Macaca mulatta: one gene and its partners. The protein of the gene in region 3 interacts with the protein of the main gene of each other region in a biochemical or structural test. Links are inferred from orthologs where the notes say so. Each region holds a gene or a part of one and is shown on either strand. Other genes may lie near its edges.

Region 1 (4,390 bases), on a different chromosome or scaffold from region 3:
GAGCGCAGTGGCACAATCTCGACTCACTGCAACCTCCAAACAGGCTCTTCTTAAACATCACCTTCTCTATGATGTCTTTCCAGTTCTGGTGAAGCATTAATTTTTTTCCTGCTCAAAACTCTAAGAGATCTTGTATGTACAGTCCTTACTGCATTTACACAGTTCTGTAACTGGTGATGGAATTAAATATGTACAAGATGACCTTGATATATCCTAGGAAGAAACATTTTTCAGCAACAAAGATCAGAACTCAAGGTATTATTTTTAACAGAAAATATTAATGTAAGGAGAAAAAACTTGAAATCAATACGTAGTTCAAATAAAATTCTGATGAGATGAGAATGAAGACACACTTTCTAAGCAACAAGTTACTACTTCTTTTTTTTTTTTTTTCTGAGATGGAGTTTTTGTTCTGTTGCCCAGGCTGGAGTGCAACGGAGCAATCTCAGCTCACTGCAACCTCCGCCTCCCAGTTTCAAGCAATTCTTCTGCCTTAGTCTCCTGAGTAGCTGGGAATACAGGCGCATGCCACCATAACCGGCTAATTTTGGTATTTTTAGTAGAGATGGGATTTCACCATACTGGCCAGGCTAGTCTCAAACTATTGACCTCATGATCCACCTGTCTCGGCCTCTCAAAGTGTTGGGATTACAGGTGTGAGCCACCGTGCCCGGCCCAATCCTGTGATGATTTTCTAAATGTGACTCTGGTTACTTACCCTCCCCTCTAATTCGTACTGCACACTGCCAAACTTTTTTTTTTCTGAATAAATATTTGGCATCTCTCCCTCACTCAAATCCTCCAAAAAGTTTGTTACTTCCTTGTAAACTAAAGTTAGAACATCTCCGTTTCATGATATGACAATCTGAGTATATGGTCCCAACCTTTATCTACACAGATCTTCTGCTCTAGGTTCTCTCTGTTTTCCACGACACACCATGCTGATTATGTATTTTGAGTCTTGCATTTCTGTTCCATTCCCCATGGTATATGCTATGTCCACCCACCCAAATCCTGTAAGGCGTAAACACTGAGCATTTACCATGCTCCTAGAACAATGGCACCATCTCAAGTCACACCATTTTTTCAAGCTTTTTCCTTCAGTCTGCAAGGGCCATCTCCTCCTTAGTGACTCTCCTCCAATTAACACGCTGCTGGAGAGAGAAATGCCTATTTAATTCATCCTTTTAAGTCACACTGAGCTTGGAAATAAGTCAAATCAGTGCCACAGATTAAGGCGAGGGTTAAAGAATGAGAGGTCATGCATTTATTCATCACCTTTTTGTTGAGTAATTACCATGTGCCAAACACTATTCTGGGTATGACAGGCAAAGATCCAATCTCATGGAATGTGATTTTGTGTGTTGGAAAGACGGAGGTAACCAACTTTGAACATATTAACACAAAATCACTCTACACTGTGAAAAGTGCTTTGAAGAATGTAACGGCCAGGTGCGGTGGCTCACGCCTGTAATCCCAGCACTTTGGGAGGCCAAGGCGGGCGGATCACGAGGTCAGGAGATCGAGACCATCCTGGCTAACACGGTGAAACCCTGTCTCTACTAAAAATACAAAAAATTAGCCGGGCGTGGGGGCGAGTGCCTGTAGTCCCAGTTATTCGGGAGGCTGAGAGAGGAGAATGGCGTGAACCTGGGAGGCGGAGCTTGCAGTGAGCCAAGATCGCACTACTGCACTCCAGATTGGGCGACAGAGCAAGACTCTGATTCAAAAAAAAAAAAAAAGAAAAAAAGAAAAGAAAGAATGTAATACGGATCTGTCGTGTTAGCAAATGATCATAAGGGAGCCATTTTTAAGAAGGCCGACAAGAAAGACCTCTTAGATTTAATTGACGAGAACTCAGCCATATGATAAATCAGTTAAAGCATTAAGAAACCGAAAGTCCTTACATTTTAAGTCTCAACGACTTTCAGGATCACATTTTGAATTTGCTTAAGTATTATGAAACTCCCCTAGGAGAAAACACTTCCCAACATGAAACAGTAAAGCACAAATAGTGCCCGCTGTGAGCCAACCAAAATTGCTGTCTTTACATAAAACATTTATTGACGGCCAGTTTCATCAGACCCAAATGTGCTCTGAAAGAATACTCCAGTCCAATGACCTCTCCTGACCTCTCCTTCTGTTTGTTCAGGGCTCTCTCGCCTCTTTTGAGAGCTTCATTAAGGACCATTTACCTAAGAGAATAAGAGTACGCAGGGACCAGTTCTAGTTTCTCGCCGAAAAAACTGTACAGAAAGCAGACATTCAACTACCTCACACAGGCTCATGGCTAAAACCAGTTTCACCAAGGGAAAGATACAAGTAATTCTTCGGTCTGGGATAAAATGCACCGCCCAAGTCTAGGAACACCAAGACAGGGCTCCAGGAAAGCCGTGAGAAAGAGATCTAGTCCAGGCTGATTCAGACCAGTAACCGGCTGAAAGACACTTTGCGTCCCTAAACTAATCTCCTCATCTGCAAACAGATACAACAATGACTCCTGCCTCTCAAAATATGTGAAGCTCTAACGAGATAGCCGTAAAAGAACTTTAAGAGGTGCACGGAGCGGGATGGGCTCAAGTTACTTAAATTATACTTGTGTTAGGAGGAGCGCAAGTGGGAGACTCGTGAACATTACCTTGACTAGCCACACTCCTGTGTTCTGTTTGGCGCCGGTCAGGTCGAGTTCCCCGCGCTCGGCCATGGGTCTGTTGCCGGTGGACGCGTGTGGCCTACAGCAGCGACACCAGGAGCCGGAGGGCTGAGAAGTGGGCGTCCGGAACAAAGGGCAAGCCGCGCTGAGAGGTGAAGAGGCGGCGTTCCTTACCTGCCAGGACACTGGAAACCGGGGGGAAAGAGGAACACGCCGCCGGTAGCCAGACTGCGCCTGCGCACTGTACGTTCGTACGGCGCGCTGTTGCAGACAAACTTTCTGTTTCGGAAATTCCTTGGGTGGGCGTGGCTGTCAGCGTAGTGTGTATCTGAGGGATTAAAACATAGGGTAAGATGAGCCAAAACGTTAGCAACGTATTTAAAGACATGGCCAGCATAACTGAAGAAAAAGATTATCAGAACGGAAAAACGGGGTTCAAAGAGACAAAAGTTGTCAGAACGTGTCCAACCCTAGCCAAAGAGAGAGAAAGAATATTTGAAGGACAGGCTTAGGTTAGTAAATTGGCATCCCCCCTGGCCAACGTCATTAGCACAAGTGGGCACTGGGATCAGACTTGGTAGCCCTGGGTATATTGAAAACATGCCGTTTCTAGACCTGAAAAGAAAGCCGTGTTTCAGCTCAGAGGCTGCCCGAGCTCCTCTGATTAAGCAAGCAGAGCACCTCATATTCCAAAACCCGAAGGTCTGTGACGAAACGAACAAGTAAGAGACAAAACTGATCGTTTCCTCCCCTGCTTAAAGTTTTCTCTTTCTCTTCTTGCCTCTAGAATAAAATTCAATCCTCCTGCTTCAACTGGGCCCTCTTAATTTCATCCGTTTTCCCCTCCCACCATTACTCCACCATGCACCGAACCGCACCAAACCCAGCAGACTTCCCGGAACACGTCAGAATCTTCCTCGGTCATTTCAGAGCCTCTGCACACTGGATTCCCTTCCTTGGAAGCCCTCTTTTACCCCTGCCCTCACTCCCACTCTTTCCTCTGGTTGGCAAACTCCTACTTATGGTTCAAGACCAATGGAAATGTCACTTCTTATGAGATCTTTTATCAACTTCCCCAGAAGAAATTAGTTTTTCTTCACATCACAGTGTGATACTTAGCACTCTGCACTATAATACATATGTTTACATATCTGCCTTTGCTTTCCAGACAACGAACTCCTCCTAGGCAGAAAGAGCTTTATTGAGGTATAATTTACAAATAAAAAATGGTGCTTTATTCATGTTATATCCACAATGTATAGCACAGTGTTTGACACATTGTCAGGTTTCAGCAGGCTTTGGGTGAAAGAACATTCGCTGAAGAGAAACAAACAGTAAGGTATTGTTAAGAAGGGCAAGTAATGTATTGAATCACACATCAGAGCCTTGCACAAAATTGAGGAAATTTTATGTGTGTTCAGCACAGGGCCAGGAAAAGCTGTCAGAACTCTGCGATTAGCTAGCAAAATTAACAGGAAAGATGGGAAGAGACCTGGAGTGTGTCGAAAATGAAAGTTTCAGTGGCTGGACCCTGTAACCCCACCTTTGGGAGGCTGAGGTGGGAGGATTGTGTCTGCCCAGGAGTTCAAGGCTACAGTGAGTCATGATCGTGCCTTGCACTCCAGCCTGGGTGACAGAGCAAGGCCCTGTCTCTGAAAAATAAATACTAAAACCAAAATTTTTTTTGGCCAGCCACAGTGGCTCACGCCTGTAATCCCAACACTTTGGGAGACCGAG
Region 2 (4,255 bases), on a different chromosome or scaffold from region 3:
GCGGAGGTTGAAGTGAGCAAAGATATGTGTCACTGCACTTCAGCCTGGGTGACAAAGCAAGACTCCTTCTCAAAAAAAAAAGACAAAATCCTTATAATGTCCCACAAAGCCCTTCAAAATTTGCCTTCTCCCCATTATATCTCTGATCACTCTTCCTTCCTTCTTCCACTTTGATCCAGACACATATGTCTTCTGGCTGCTCCTTAAACTTGCCAGGCATGCACTTAATAGCTTTTGCTCCATTCCCTCTGCCTGGAATGTTCTCCCAAATGTCTAATTGGCTGCCTACCCTGACCACCCTATTTAACTCTGCAGTCTGCCCTCAGAGTGGGGGCAGCCCACTTCTTCTTTTCCGTAGCATTTAACATCTTCTGAGCCTGGCGCGGCGGCTCACGCCTGTAATCCCAACACTTTGGGAGGCCGAGGCCGGCAGATCATGAGATCAAGAGATCAAGACCATCCTGGCCAACATGGTTAAACCCTGTCTCTACTGAAAATACAAAAATTAGCCGGGCATGGTGGCATGCGCCTGTAGTCCCAGACACTCGGGAGGCTGAGGCAGGAGAATCGCTTGAACCCGGGAGGCGGAGGTTGCAGTGAGCAGAGGTTGCACCACTGCACTCCAGCCTGGCAACAGAGTGAGACTCCGTCTCTGTCCACCATGTAAACAGGGCTCTTCTCTTTTTTTTTGGAAATAGAATTTCACTCTTGTTGTCCACTCTTGAACTCCTGACCTCAGGTGATCCGCCCACCTTGGCCTCCCAAAGTGCTGGGATTACAGGCGTGAGTCACTGTGCCTGGCCAACAGAGCTCTTTATTATGTTCACTGATGTATTCCAGGAGCCCTGGGACATCATAAATATTTGTGAAGTAAATGAATTAGTTGTAAGGCTTAGAGATGTTGGTGCTCAGTAAATACTTGGTATCACTGTTATTAATAGGTCATAGGCCCAAGCTTTGAGCCTACACTGTAGTTAAAAGCAAAGTGGAGCCAGGTGCAGTGGCTCACGCCTGTAATTTGGGAGACCAAGGTGGGAAGATCACCTGGGGTCAGGAGTTCGAGACCACCCTGGCCAACATGGTGAAACCTTGTCTTTTTGTAAAAACACAAAAATTAACCAGACATGGTGGCGGGCGCCTGTAGTCCCAGCTACTCCAGCTACTTGAGAGGCTGAGGTGGGAGAATCGCTTGAACCCAGGAGGTGGAGGTTGCAGTGAACCGAGATCGTGCCACTGCACTCCAGCCTGGGCGATAGAGGGAGACTCCGTCTCAAAAAAAAAAAAAAAAAAAAAAAGCAAATTGGAGCCAAGAGAGGTAGCTCACCCCAGCACTTTGGGAGGCAGAGGTGGGAGGATCGTTTGAGGCCAGAAGTTTGAGACAGACTGGTCAACATGTGAGACCCCCATTTCTGCAAAAATTAAAAAATTAGACGGGCGTGGTGGGGTGAACCGGTCATCCCAGCTACTTAGGCGGCTGAGGCGGGAGGATCGCTTGAACTACTGAGGAGTTGGAGGCTGCAGTGAGCCAAGATGGTGCCACTGCACAACAGCCTGCGCAACAGACGGAAATCCTGCCTCAAAATAAAATAAAATAAAATAAAATAAGTGGCACACTTGGAGCTGGACATTAGGAAGATTAACATCAATACTGTTCAGGAGTAGTACAAGTAGGGTGGGGCCGTGCTGGAAGGATGGGAAGAGGGAGGCCGAAAAAGAAATTAGTTCTTTTCAAACCATCCCTAATCTCCTTCCCCACTTTTATAAGTCTTATCTATAGGAAACACAATTATTGGAGACATACTCTGTGCCTGGCGCCGGGTTTACAAGAGGCGGTCGTGTCCCACTTCCCTGGCGAACTCCTACGAATCCTTCAATACCCGGCGGTACCCTCTGCCAGTAAAGGCTCATAAAACACGCTACAGTCACAGGATCTCCTCAGATCAAGTGGAGGCGGCAGGAAGGCGTCCCAGGGGAGGGTTAACTTGAGCGAGATCCCAGCAGAGAAGCAGGTCGAAGATCCCCGGGCAGCGCGAAATGAGGCTCAGAGAGTCCACCCCATCTCCTGCAACATCTCTCCTATGCAGGCACACACACGGGGTCCCCACGAGCACAGACACACAACCAACCGTCCTCTTTCCAGTCCCCACAAGGGACTTTCAAAGGGTCTCCTCCCGGGTACCACTCAGACCCGCCCCGGCCAGCCGAGCACGGGCAGCAAGAAAACTCTAGCCGCAGCCGGGACGCCGCTCAACCGGCGCTCGGCGCCATCTTGGCCCCGCCCCCTCCTGGAAGCAGGTCCTGGCAGAACCGAAGAGCAAGTCACTGCCCCTTCCCCGTGCCAGAATAAGTCCTCTAGGCTTACAGAATGAAATTATATTTTAAAAATTTGTTTCTACATCTACATATAAGGACCACTCCCTCTTGATGTAATTAGTGTAATTTATTCCTTCACTACCCGGCTGCCAGGACCTTCAAGAGGCGCCACAAAACGGAGGCAGGGAAACCCGGAGCAACGAGGCCGCACCCCTGTTGGGCTGATCTTGCGCATGCGCCGATCTTGCCAGGCTGGATTTAAGGTTGCCGCCAGCCGCTGGGAATTTAAAGGACCCACACTGCCTCTCCGAAGTTGGTTTGAAGGCAAGCGGTGGTTGTTTGTGGACGGCGCTTTGTCATGGGACCTGTGCGACTGGGAATATTGGTTTTCCTTTTGGCCGTGCACGGGGCTTGGGCTGGGATGCCGAAAGAGGACGACGATGACGCAGAACGCTTGCCCAGCAAATGCGAAGGTATTTGAAGGGGGTAGCCCCTGTGGGCATCGCCCGGCCACACCTCCTTCTTCTAGGCCGGACATCCTGGACTGTATTGGGTGGGTCACCCGACCTCCTTGAAGGCTTGAGGGAGGTTCTGGTGGAGCTTGGCTGAATTTGGATGGGGTCAAGGAAGCGAACGTGTAGTGCCACCTCAAAGCTGCATCCAGAGAGAGCCTGCATTTTTTTGGCTGGCTTGGACACCCCCGCCAATGGATTGTGGGAATTGTAGTTCAGGGACCATCGGCCCTGGACTGCCAACTTTTAGAGCATCTTCAGTGCGTGTTTGCCTCATGTCACCAGACCTTAATCTGCAGAGACTGCAGGAGCCGGGTGTGAGGCTCAGGCCTTGTGGACATCCGCTGCCCTACCCTAGCATAGACGCTCCCAAATTACAGGCCCCACGCCCCCCTGAGGGGGTTTGAGGGTGAGTAACTCAGCCTTTGAAGCTCATAAACAAAAGGAGGCCGTACAAGTAGGAGAGGTTCCCCATCCGGTGAGACTTTGCAGACGGTGCGTACTATATGGATTTTTCAGCAAGCAGCACCTTCCACAGCTGCACTAGTGTGGGGCCCATTTGAGAAAGGGGACTGGCCCTGATGCCCTAGTTTGCTGCCCTCCTGACTTTACGTTTCTTCCCTGGATTCTTTTTCTCTTCTCTTCACCCCCACAAAACTGTATTTCAGTATCATGAAAGGCAGTCATGATAGTCTCATGACTTAGTCCTCATCTCTGTCTCCTTTCACCTCCGTGTCCCGCTCTTCTCCCCTGACTTGTCAATCTTTTTAAACAGACTTAATCACCTAATTGTATCAGTCCTTGCTTTAACACCTCTGCAGGCCTTCTATCGGAATACAGCCAACAGGCCTGGGCACAGTGGCTCACATCTGTAAACCCAGCACTTGGGAAGGCCAAGGTGGGAGGATCACTTGAGCCCATGAGTTCAGGCCCAGCTTCACCATATCTTGTCATCCTTGGTTTATCTGTCCCAACTACACTGACAGAGACCTGTAGATAGAGATAATAGGTTTTATTGCTGTTATATTGTTAGTATGCATACAGAAGGAGCTCAATAAATAACTGCAGGATAACAGTGAATACTTATACAGTACTCACTATGTGCCAGCCTTTATATATGTTGATTTAATCCTCATCACACTCCTATGAGGGACATACTATTATCCCATTGTATTTATTATACACACACACACACACACACACACACACACACATATATATATATATATTTTTTTTTTTTTTTTTTTTCTTTTGAGACAGAGTCTCATGCTGTTGCCCAGGCTGGAGTGCAGTGGTGCAATCTCAGCTCACTGCAACCTCCGCGTCCTGGGTTTAAGCGATTCTCCTGCCTCAGCCTCCCAAGTAGCTGGGATTACAGGCGCCCACCACTATGCCCAGCTAATTTTTGTAGTTTTAGTAGAGACAAGGTT
Region 3 (4,105 bases):
CTAAGGAGAGATGAACTGGGGATTATGGAAGAAAAGATAAGGGCAGTGAGGTGGGAGCTGGAAATCCAGAAGTCAGCTGTAGTTCTCAAATGTCCCAGGGGTCAAAATAATTTTTCTTTGCATCCATTGAGATAAAAAAAAATAATAATTTTAACACTAGGATTAAATTCGGCTCAGCGTTAAATCCTAGCTGCTTCAGAATAAAACTCTTACTTTAATTTCTCTATCGTACAGTCTAGGACATAATAGGTTTTCAATGAAGATCAAACGAGAACCAGGAAGTCAAGAAGCTCAGTTAAGAATAAAACAGGACCACCACCCAATACGTCACTGCGTATTTATAACTTAGCGTTTAAGTTTGTGGACTCTGCGTTCAAAAGGATTCTGCCACTCACATCTCTCTGCCTCACTACTCTCATCCGTAAAATGTGATCATAGGACTAATCTCAGAATTAAATGAGTTAATGTATGAGAAGCGCTTGCCAGTTCACGTTTGTCAGTGCACGTTTGACTTCCTTAATGAACAAAATCTCTTGAAGGCACGGTCCTACTAACTTCTGTACCCTTAACACAGAACTCCATACAATACTCAATGCCTGCCTTTTTTTTTTTTTTTTTTTCCAAATAAAATAACTGACAATACACTCCAGGCTGCAGTCTTCTGGGAGACTGATGTGGAAAGCCGCGAAGGAAAAAGACCCGGGCTCCGCGACCCCCACCCGCGCGACGCCGCCGCCGCCGCCGCGTCGTCACACGGAGCAAAGTCCCCTGGGAAGTGTAGTCTTCAGGACTTCGGAGGGACTTCAGCCACGGGCCGAAGAGCCAGGGAGTTGAGGGAAGGAAGGTAAGGGGAGGGTTACTGGGTAACTCAAAAGTGTCTGTAGCCCCAGAGGTGGGGTAAGACGCTCACCTGAGTCTCCCAACACCAGTACCTTCACCCGATCCAGGGACGCCATCTTGCCACTGCCTTCCTTGGGTTAACGCCTGTTCCGGGATTGTAAGCCAATCAGAGTTGGGCATGGAGGGCAGAGCTTTCAATTTCATTGGCCGCTCGGAGCGTGACTGTCTGAATCGAAGGCTTCACTGAGCTGATTGGCTGGTCTGGTAGCGGGGTGTTTCCCCAGATGGTCGCAGGAATAGTGCGTTTTCTTTGTCGCGTAAGAGGCGTGGCTCATTTAAGCCGGTAGTTGAAGAGCTGAGGGCAGCTGTAGTGGGAGTGTTCCAGGATTCGCTTTGGTAAACCTTGTTCCCTGTTCCTTGTTCGGAGTTCCCTGGCCGGGCATTGCATTTCATGATTTCTTCTTCCTTTCGCTCCCTCTTAACTGTCCTCCCCTATTGAATTACCCTCTTGCCTTGGTCCTCTTGGTTCTCCAAAGAACCATTGACCCCGGAACGGCCCGTGTGGGACCTCGGGTAGGGCGGGCTTGGGTGCGCCGAGTGTGGCCCTAGACCCAACTGGGAGAGTCCGAGGGAGTTTGGGGTCTCGGGGTCTCGCAGTGGGGAGGAGTGCATATCACCGAACGCGTCTCGTGAAGGGCAGCTGGGTCCGGAGGTTTCGCGGTAGTTTGCCGCTATGTGTTCAGTGAAGGCGTGGAAAGTGCCATGAAATGTGGTACCAGAACACCGCAGTTAGATGTGTAGAATCCCAGGTTGTTCTAGAACTGGCGTAGTGGTGTACTGAAGTAATCTAACTGGACTCTTCGCATCCAGCTTTTTTCTCCATTCTGCAGTCAGCGCACACTTTTAACATCGTGAATTTGATCCACTCACCTCCAGCTTAAAACTGTTTTAAATTTAAGAAGAGAGTGCCCAATAGCCTGTCCAATTCTACCGTGGAAGCAAGAGTGGAGGAAGTGAAGCGGGGGGAAGCTGGCAAAATGAGCCATGTTGGAACAACACGTGTCTAGGACACATAAGGAAAGTTTTATGGAAGTACTTGTCTGGCTGTGCTAGATACTGGAAATTAATTGGTGAACAAAATGAAGTCTGGTCTTAGAGATAGACATGGAGAAAGTACAAGAAGGGAGAAAGAGCCATGGAACATGTGAGAGGGGATGATTGTACGCTACCTAATGGGGAGTCTGGGAAGGCCTCTATGAGGAAACGTCATTTGAGACTTGAAGGATGATTAGGAGAAGGGGGTTGGCTTAGTTGTAGGGGCAGAAGGAACAGCTTGTGCAAAGCTGTGGTAAGCACGGAAAGCACATGTGGCTTATGGAATTGAGAATATGCTAGTGTGGCTGGATATGAGGCTGACAGAGTAGACAGAGGGCAGAGGGTGCATTCTTTTCAACTTTGTTTCTCTAGCTCCGTGTCTGGTGCACAATAGTCCTTAAATGTTTATATGATTAAAATACACGTGTCTGGACTGGGGTAGGGAGGTGAGGCTGGGATATGACTCATGGACTATGAAGATCAAAGGAAGAAACAAAAGGTCCTAGGAGGTACCACACTCAGAAGTCTCCAGAGACCAGCCATACTCCTTCCCTAATAATGCCAGCTGCTATTCGTCTTCAGCTTATTGTTTCCATGTGGGACCATGGGCTCACTTTTTCCTCAGATATTTCCAATTTTTCAGGAGGAGCTGGAAGTTGAAATTTATGTGAACTCTTACAATTTTTAAATGTTGACAACTAATTCAGAAAATTTTTGAAACATTTCTTTGGGTGAAACAATGCGTTGGGGGGCTGCCAGTTTGAGAATTCTTACCTAAGACCTCTAGAGATTGAGTAAGGAGATTCAGTGTGAGTGGGAAGTGGTGGAGGAGAGAAGTTAGTGGTCAGGAAGGAGGATTTTAGAATGCACAGATTTTGAACAAGGTGGCACAGCTTCATTTCATTCCTAAGCTCTAGTTTCATTTGTTCAGCTACCTGCTGGGCATATTCAGAGGAATATCCTATGGTATTTCCTCAGAGACACTTCTAAAAATGATTTCCTCATTTCTTCCATATCTGCTCCTCTTCAAGTGTCACCTATTTCTCATGGCAGTACTTTTCCTAGCTACACTGGCTCAAAACAGAGCTATTTAAGATTTTTCCTACTCTCATATTCTGTATCCAATATATTTTGTTGGGTCCTTGTTATTTTTTTTTCTGTAATAACTTTCATTCATTCTGTTCTCTTCTTGCAATTTTTTGCCTTCTTCCGTAGTTTGATTTTATACACCCAATACTTCCACATTGCCTCCACCTTCACCCATTTGAGTCCATTCTTCATATTGGTATAAGAGTCGTTTTTCTAAATAGGGGATTTATTATGAATGCCAGTACTGAATTGAACTCTTATGCCAGCCCTGAAAGCAGAACACTTTGCATTAATTATCTCACTGAGTTCATACATTAACTGTGTGAGCAGGGGACCGTTAATCACTTTTTTTTTTTTTTTGAGGGTCATGTCCTGTCACCTAGGCTAGAGTGCAGTGGCTCAATCATGGCTCATTGCAGCCTTGACCTCCTGGCTCAGTTGATCCACCTCAGCTGGTACTACAGGTGCACGGCACCATACCTGGCTAAGTTTTAAAATTTTTATAGAGGTGGGGTCTTACTGTGTTTCCTAGGCTGGTCTTCAACTTCTGGACTCTAGCAGTCCCCCCATCTCGGCCTCCCAAGGTGTTACAATTACAGGTATTAGCCACTGCACCTGGCCTAATCACTTTTTATATATAAAGAAACTGAGTCTGAGAATTTTCTGGGGTCAGGGGGGCTAAGAAATACTGGAACTGGGATTTAAACCCCAAAACTGTTGGATTGTAAAGTCTTCACATCACTCCCTGACTTTAGTCTTCACAGCTCCCTAGGGTGTTTTAGGCAAAGGAAACAGGCTGAGCGATTAGTGGCACAGGGACCTCTCCATGCAGGATGAGCATTGGCAGGATATATAGTAGGTACTTTTGCTGTATAGTAGAGCCACCTAAAGAGCTTTAAAAATTTGTGTGATGCCAAATCTGGCCGCCCCGAACCACCTGAGACAAAACCTTTAGGAATGGGGCCCATGGTCAGTATTCTTAAAACGTTCCCTAGATGATTCTGCTTTAAAACCAGGCTTGAGAACTATTAGTCTGGGACATGGCATGTATGGAGCAGGGAAGGAGAATACAATAGTAGGA

The links.
Region 1: the proteins of GTF2E1 (region 3) and GTF2F2 form a complex in vitro, tested with the Homo sapiens proteins (2 studies listed by BioGRID). The link is inferred for Macaca mulatta from reciprocal best matches to the Homo sapiens genes GTF2E1 and GTF2F2.
Region 2: the proteins of GTF2E1 (region 3) and TAF6 form a complex in vitro, tested with the Homo sapiens proteins (2 studies listed by BioGRID). The link is inferred for Macaca mulatta from reciprocal best matches to the Homo sapiens genes GTF2E1 and TAF6.

The regions. Positions count from the first base shown.
Region 1 is NC_133422.1:24,430,517-24,434,906, reverse strand, and holds the start of GTF2F2 (general transcription factor IIF subunit 2), read right to left. Parts: upstream 2,852-4,390; 5' UTR 2,705-2,851; coding exon 2,639-2,704; intron 1-2,638. UniProt on the Homo sapiens protein: TFIIF is a general transcription initiation factor that binds to RNA polymerase II and helps to recruit it to the initiation complex in collaboration with TFIIB.
Region 2 is NC_133408.1:47,425,425-47,429,679, forward strand, and holds the start of TAF6 (transcription initiation factor TFIID subunit 6), read right to left. Parts: upstream 2,852-4,255; coding exon 2,617-2,851; exon of another isoform or gene 2,583-2,616; intron 2,282-2,582; exon of another isoform or gene 1,802-2,281; intron 1,572-1,801; exon of another isoform or gene 1,437-1,571; intron 1,410-1,436; exon of another isoform or gene 1,395-1,409; coding exon of another isoform or gene 1,321-1,394; intron 91-1,320; exon of another isoform or gene 1-90. Other genes in the region: CNPY4 (protein canopy homolog 4 precursor), read left to right, coding at 2,672-2,786. UniProt on the Homo sapiens protein: The TFIID basal transcription factor complex plays a major role in the initiation of RNA polymerase II (Pol II)-dependent transcription.
Region 3 is NC_133407.1:162,993,892-162,997,996, reverse strand, and holds the start of GTF2E1 (general transcription factor IIE subunit 1), read left to right. Parts: upstream 1-1,189; 5' UTR 1,190-1,236; intron 1,237-4,105. Other genes in the region: RABL3 (rab-like protein 3), read right to left, coding at 911-956.